2 linked regions of the Tribolium castaneum genome follow. The protein of the gene in region 1 purifies or fractionates together with the protein of each later gene. This does not show direct contact. Links are inferred from orthologs where the notes say so. Each region holds a gene or a part of one and is shown in the gene's direction. Other genes may lie near its edges.

Region 1 (3,119 bases):
AGGGGCCTTCCACCCAAAATTGCCGAAATGGCCCGAAACAGACTCAGAACGCGACGTTTTCCGGGCGCTGAGTCGAAAATCACTCCTTTTATCTGCACAAACAGTACATTTTGTCCGATACTTTAAACAAACATTTTATGGCAAAGTTAACAGCATTTCAAGGCTTATTTTTGTATCTCATGAATAATCATTATACATGGAAAGTTTTACCTGAATCGGTTTGGGGCTCTTTTCAAGCGCCAGCGTGAAATTCTGATACAGAAAAGCGCCCCCATTTGAGAAACAATGCACAATAATCGGGTGATTCTCAAAATTTAAATCAACCAAAAGCTTAACGAGTCGTTCTCCAATCGTGATCATCTGCAGTCGCTTCCAAAAGAGGCATTTCACCGGAGCGGTGTATCTCAAAGTTATCAAACTGTTAAAAAAAATGGAAATTGAAATTTTGTAAAAATCAAAAAATTATTCTCACCCTCGGTCTTCGTAAATTTGCGAATATTTGGCCAAATACTTATCCTGACATCCGGCCCAACCGAAAAGTAGGATAACGGGGATTTTTTCTTCATTGACGACAAAAACGTAGTCACTTTCTCCGGTGCCATTCGGTTGGCTGTAGTTAAAATTTGGACTGGGAAATTTGATGTAATATTCGAGATTGTCGAGATCGGCGGCACCGGCCATTTTTCAAAAACGGTGCGCATCGATCGATAAATGAACGTGGATGACGGCGCCGAAGCTGAGTGACGTGGGGGACGACGTCAGTGACAATTTGTGTATTGTTGGTTACATATACTTTCCCAAATTTAAACGATTTCTCGACTAACTCAAGCGCTTTTCAAACAGTTCTAGATTAAATTGTTATGCATTACTCATATCAGTGGAGTTTTTTCAATAATAATCTAAATGATTGCATATACATTAGCAAGTTTTTGGCCATTGCAAACAATTTATTACGATTTCTAAAAAACTTTAGTCCTGTTGTGATTTAGTTTCACCAAGGACAAGTGTTTATTGCAAAAATCGTAAAATACTTAAACATAGATTAAAATACAATTATTTCACTACATAGATAAGAGATAAGCGCGTCTGATCTCAACTCAAATCCGCTGAGTAAATAATGAGTAATGTAAATAATGAAATTCTCACTTTTTTTCGTAATAATTACAATACCACGTGACCGATAATAAGTCACGTGTGCCTTTATTCGAAGGTTGCTTGATAAAATTCCGCTTTTATTGATTTCATAAAAATAAAAAATCACTCTAACCGAATTATTTTCGTGATTTATTCACCAAATTCTCAAAATTGATGATTGAATTGAACACTGACGTAAAAATTTAATTTTGGTCACGACATGACTAAGACCAAGCCTTGGGTCAGGTGTGACAATTGCGCCGAATTGCGAAAAACACGGCAAAAGTGGCGCCAGGAAGACACCCCGGACTTTTCCAGGCGTGGAAACTGTCCAACAAAAGGTCTTCTTTTACAATTTTGATAAAATCGCTCACATGGTCCGACCTGTATCACTCAACCCTTGACCTTGGACCCACCAATCGTAGCAAAGTTTAGGTGACGCATGCGCATTTAAATAACAAAGTGGCATTGTGTCAAGTCATTTGTACGAGTGTTGTCGTCCATCTTCAAATCATTCCTTTCTGTTGCCCATTTCGGCGGAAAAAGACCCATCAAACAGCGGAGGCCCATCGTAACCTTACCATGGTCACCCACATCAACGATAAGGTAAGGCCCATGTGGGCGTGGCACATTTTCCGGAAACGCAATAGATTTTTGACAGATCGTGACCTTCGATTAGCCGGAACAAAAAATTTAATATACAGAGTGTTTGTTTCACAGGCCGACCTTGTGTCGAAGCTCACCGATGCCGGCGACCAACTTGTCGTCATCGACTTCTTCGCTACTTGGTGCGGGCCATGTAAAATGATTTCGCCGAAATTGGAAGAGTTGGCTCAGGAATTCCAAAACGTGCACATTTTCAAGGTAGGCGGCTGTGTGTGTGTATCTATTTGACGTTTGTTTTGTCAACGTGTTTTGTTTTAGGTGGATGTGGACGAATGCGAAGATATCGCGATGGAATATAATATTTCGTCAATGCCTACTTTTGTTTTCGTGAAGAATAGTCAAACGATCACGCAGTTCAGCGGCGCCAACTATGAAAAGCTCAGACAGTTGGTAGTGGAGAACAAGTAGATTGTTTCGTTTTCTTTAATTTTTTCATGTACTTTTAACACAAATATTTGCAAAAAAAAATTGTAATCCGAGCATTTTTCTTGATTCAATGCGTAGGTTCTGTTATTTTTTATATTAATTGTATTTGAAAGCGTGAATTGTTGTATATTTTGAGATTCACCAAGTAGCGCCTTAAATGATGTAAAAGCAAAATAAAGTCATTAAAACGTAACAAAACTGCGTTTTTTTAAATCAAAAAAACAATTTATTTTACACAATCACAAAAAAATAAAACAATATTGCAATAATACATGATATTTACGCTAAAACTAGTATTTGTTCATTTATATTTTTAATTCTATAAAATAATAAAAATTTGTCAAACAAGAAAAATATTTTACAATACGATAAAAGTCTAATCTACACATTATACAATTTATTGGACGGACGAGAAAATTAAGTACATTATATGAGTCATAATCTAAAAACGCTACAATATTTTTTTGGTGCTTTTTCATTTTACACTAACTAGAAAAGTGTTCAAATCTTTCAGATACAGGTACTTCTACAACTAGGTGATGCTGTAGTAACATCGAACACTTTGATAAAACAATTAAAAAAATATAATATTTAAAAAAAAACACGTAAATAAATAAATGTCATGCATTTCTTGTTCTTAGTTTCCTTTTTTTGAGTAGTACGTATCGTTTATTCATCACAGTGCCGGTAGAAATGGAAATTATATTCGATAAATTCATCCAAGTTGCTCAATTTACACGTATTCTGCGAAAACAGAAGTAAATCGATAAATTTAATAGCATATTCGAAGCGCCCAGACAATTCCAGTCTGGATCGATGGGTCACAATTGGTTAAACCACAATGAAATTTCCAAAAATTGTCAAAAAAAAAAATTGTCAAATGACTCTTACCT
Region 2 (4,568 bases), on another chromosome or scaffold:
CTAATCCTCTCATCAGTGATCCGCAATGGCTATCCAAACCAAACTGGTAATCATTTTCCTCCTCTCAAGTCTCCTCTATGGACGTGAAGTGTCCGCAGACTCGGACGTGGGTTTGAACACAGTAAGTGCTTTCCTTTCAAATAAAAAATTTGACTTAACTCCTTTACGAAAGGTTGAAATGATAGAAAAGCATGGCTACGTGTGTGAAACCCACTACATAACAACCGAAGATGGTTACATCTTAACATACCACAGAATACCACATGGTAAAAACAACGATAATTCGACCAAAAGACCGGCCGTTTTGCTCATGCATGGTCTCATATCGTCTTCGGCCGATTACGTAAATATGGGTCCGAACAATAGTCTCGCCTATATTTTGGCCGACATCGGATATGATGTATGGCTTGGTAATGCTAGAGGGAACGGATGGTCGCGAAATCACACAACTCTGGATATAGTAGCAGATGCTGAGAAGTTTTTCGATTTCAGTTGGCATGAAATCGGGTATTACGACCTGCCCGCTGCTATAGATTACATCTTGGATGTAAACGGTGACGATAGTATTTATTATGTAGGACACTCTCAAGGTACAACTGCCTTCATGGTCTTGGGGTCCACTAGGCCAGAATATAACAGCAAAATCAAAATTGCCTCACTTATGGGGCCTGCCTCGTATATGGAGCATCAGTCCACTACGCTTTTAGTAGGTCTTTCAAAATATATCTTTGAGTTGGAGAAAGTAGTAAAGAAATACACAATATTTGAAATACCGCTTCTGGCACAACTACGAAAGTTTGCGTCTGATTTTTGCTCAAATCCCGACAGTCTCAACATCTGCGAAGATGTTATCGGTCTCATAGGTGGACAAGATAAACCGCAATTTGACTTCGTATGTTATAAGCAGTGGTTATTTAATTTTTCCAATTTTATTTTCTAGGAAAAATTCCCTGTAATTCTTACAAATGCACCCTCAAACGCAGCCATGAAACAGCTTTATCACTATGGCCAACTTATCAAAAATGGTAAAAGGCCCTTTTGGATTTTTAATTGAATTCTAATCCAAATTATTTAGGTGGATTTTCGCAGTTTGATTTTGGCAGTAAAGAAAAAAACAAGGAAATTTATGGAACCGATACACCCCCGGCCTATGATTTGTCGAAAATTTCAGCACCTGTGGCTGTTTATTATGGAAAAAATGACCAGCTGGTGAACTACTTGGTAATTCTCGAATTCATTATTGACTACACTTTAAGTTGGAAATATTTCAGGATGCGCAAACTGTAGTAAAGAATCTTGGAAATGTAGCTAATGATTATTTCATACCGTACGACCTATTCGATCACTTGGACTTCATTTTTGCAAAGGATGTTGTAAATATGCTCTATGTAGAGCTAATTAAAGTTATGCAAAAGTACTGAATAAATTTTTACATAGGATCGCTTATGTGTTTTTTTCTTCCTCACATGAATACACTTAAAATTTAGTGAGCAAAAACGGTGAATACATAAAAATTACCGATCTATTTCAACCAGTAATATCTAATCCAAAGCAAACCAAAAAATTAAAATTGTTCGAAATAATTTTTAAAAAAAAATAACAATACGGATGTGTTGTGTAGACAACCAGTTATACAATCAAAAATTAGTTTTTTGTGGCAAATAAAACATAATATTCATATCAACTTGAACATTTTCCACACAGTTCATCAAAAACTGTGTAACTGACTCATGTGCCTTTTAATCTTTTTATTTACCGTTTCGTGAATTCTTGGACGAGTTTGAGGTTATGTTTTCCCTGATGAAAAACGTGAGCTCAAAAATTCGGCAAAAAGTGTTAGTGTTGGTTCTAATCCTCTAATAATTGTTGCAAAACGACTACGGGACCTCACAGTTACAGTATTTCTCATCAAGACTGAAAAATTTCACATAATAGTGTCATTTTTACTTTTGTCATTTATCATTCAGCTCAGCAATGCTTTTCAATTAAATTCTCCCAACTTCCACCTCGACGCATTTAAGAAATGTTCCGGATTAACCATCTCTTGCAACTAAAGAACGTAACAATCAAAATCCTCCAGAGATCCCCAGTTGAGGCCTCCCGATGTCTAGGTGAGCTGAGCCACCTTCAGGTGGGTCCAGACTTGAATTCCGATATTTCCAGCCCTTCAGCGGGTCCAGTTTACCCACCCGACACGGTTCTATTCAAAAAGTAGCGACGATGGGAACAAAAAGGTACAAGATGGTAAAAACAAAGCTTGTGAAGAGAAAAAAACCCAAAAACGCCCTAAACTGGTCTTGAAAGAGTGTAAACCTGTTGATATCCATCCTTGCACCCCGCCCCCACCTCCTCCACCATCGGTACCTCCTTAATATTTTGTTAGACACACTTAATGAAAAATTTGCAGAAACTGCCCCACATTAATCCAGAGGATTGTCCAGTCAAACCCACTCTGGAAAGCGAATGTCCACAAGCTAAACAGGAGCCCCCGCCAGAGTGCCCGCATGACGAGGGAAGCAAGTGGGATAATTACAAAAATGCCGCCCTTGTGGGGCTTCTAATAGCAGCAGCGACGCTAGGAGCTGTATGTAGAATTTTTCTATTAAACAAAAACCTAAAACGGTTTGCGTGGGCGTCATCAAGTCAAAAGATTATCCAAAACTATGCAAATTGAAACAGTCAATGGAAGTCTAGAACGTTAATTTACAGATTATACTTCAGCTGTATCGTTTTTTATTTTTTTTTTTCGTTCTTTTTGGTTTTCTGTTTTTTTTATAATTCCTTATCACAGCACTGTCCAACTTTTCTTACGAATCATAATTTTTTCTTTCGCGAAATTTTTTGAAGTAAGCCAGAATCCGCTAAAATTGGATAAGAAGGTAAGTACCTCATATGCACTAAATAAACAAAAAATTTACAACTATGGGTGTGTAAATAATTTGGCTAGTTTTGACAACATCTCTTGAAAAAATGGTTTTGCGGCGCAAAATAATCGTAAGAGTAAGAGAAGAGTAAATCTTCTCTACAGTAAAGCCAATTTTTTATTAAAAACATCACTTACAAGTTATGAATTACGTAAAATCAGGGTAAAGAAAAAAGTATTAGTATTAACATTAGTTTAGGCCCTAAAGGCTCCCAAACCGTAGTCCGACCCTGTGCATCTTTTCCTTTTGTCGTCCTCAATTTACTCAGATAAATAAAACTCGGCTTTATTGCATTTTCAGGGTTAGCATAATTGTATGTTGTATTCATTTGAAACAGAACTAAACTGACTTAACATAAGAAAAATAACTAACCTTAACCTCCATCGTGTCGTTTTCAAAAGCTGCGTAATCCGTTTGGCTGCGAGCTGCACATTTTCGATAAAAAATCAGTTATTTGTGCATTAAACACGCGAAAAAACAACCCGTAAAAATTATAAAACAAGTTTTTCACCCACTACACTAACGTATGATGTCAAGTCAAAGACATTTCATTGGTTAATTTTTCAAGGACTCGACTGTCAATAAGTAAAACACCCTATGTTTTGTGCATTTTTGGATATATGTGGTTGTTAATCATAATGTTTTTTTACTAGTAGTTTTTGCTAAGTTTTTGAAATAATTGAATCTCATAGGCAAAAACATTATTTTCAGAAATATCAAACAAAAACTACAACATAAAATACAAGGAATGTTTGTTTACCTACTCTTGTTTAAGTAAGTTTAATAAGTAATCCAAATTTCTGGACGTAAAAAAGAACTTCTAAACATAAAATACATCTTCCTTGTTCTACATTTTAAAAATCTTCGTACAATATTTTATTAATAATGATTTATTTGTTAATTTATTAATAAATGTGTATTAAAAAGACTTGTAATGTTGTTATTTGAAAAATGACGCACACGCAAAGCGTCCCGAAATGGCCTATAATTTTATTTTCACACTGAACCTTTAGCTGTATTACGTTGGATACTTTGAAGATAAAAGCAAACCGAAAAAAATAGTGGCGGCAAAGAAAAAGAAAACTAAGAGAGCACCTGTTAAAGACCCTCTACATTCAAAAGAGATCCCAAATCAAGTTCCTTATTTACTGATCGGGGGCGGAACTGCGTCATTTGCAGCCTTCCGTGCAATCAAATCAGCTGATCCAACCGCAAAAGTAATTTTTTTAACCACCCAAACACTATACTAACAATCGATCAGGTTTTAGTTGTGACAAATGAATCGTTTCACCCTTACATGCGTCCCCCGTTATCGAAAGAAATGTGGTTCAATGAGGACGAAGAATCAGTCAAGAAGCTCATTTTTAAACAGTGGAACGGATCGGAACGAAAGTAATTTTTCTCACAGCCAACAACAAAACAACAATAACGATTTTTCCAGCCTTTACTACGAGCCTGAAGACTTTTATATCAAGTGTCAAGACTTGCTAAAGAACGAAAATGGGGGCGTAGCCGTAGCTCGAGGCTACAAAGTAACCCGTCTTGACGTCGTCAACCGAATTGCTTATCTCGAAGACGGCTACGCCATTGAATACAACAAGTGCCTCATCGCCACAGGTGCTACCCCAAAAATGCTCAACGTGT

Evidence for each region.
Region 2: the proteins of Trx2 (region 1) and AIF purify together in Homo sapiens (affinity purification with mass spectrometry; 3 studies listed by BioGRID and IntAct, with this or other methods). This does not show direct contact. The link is inferred for Tribolium castaneum from reciprocal best matches to the Homo sapiens genes TXN and AIFM1.

What each region holds. Positions count from the first base shown.
Region 1 is NC_087401.1:17,531,422-17,534,540, reverse strand, and holds Trx2 (thioredoxin-2), read left to right. Parts: upstream 1-1,578; 5' UTR 1,579-1,716; coding exon 1,717-1,740; intron 1,741-1,854; coding exon 1,855-1,998; intron 1,999-2,058; coding exon 2,059-2,208; 3' UTR 2,209-2,424; downstream 2,425-3,119. Other genes in the region: transmembrane protein 53, read right to left, coding at 1-92, 211-418, 473-681; myelin regulatory factor, read right to left, coding at 2,896-2,970, 3,118-3,119. UniProt on the Homo sapiens protein: Participates in various redox reactions through the reversible oxidation of its active center dithiol to a disulfide and catalyzes dithiol-disulfide exchange reactions.
Region 2 is NC_087402.1:8,007,185-8,011,752, reverse strand, and holds the start of AIF (apoptosis-inducing factor 1, mitochondrial), read left to right. Parts: upstream 1-1,641; 5' UTR 1,642-2,023; coding exon 2,024-2,111; intron 2,112-2,163; coding exon 2,164-2,360; intron 2,361-2,407; coding exon 2,408-2,584; intron 2,585-3,937; coding exon 3,938-4,141; intron 4,142-4,185; coding exon 4,186-4,316; intron 4,317-4,365; coding exon 4,366-4,568. Other genes in the region: lipase 1, read left to right, coding at 26-121, 173-892, 941-1,025, 1,076-1,221, 1,272-1,421. UniProt on the Homo sapiens protein: Functions both as NADH oxidoreductase and as regulator of apoptosis.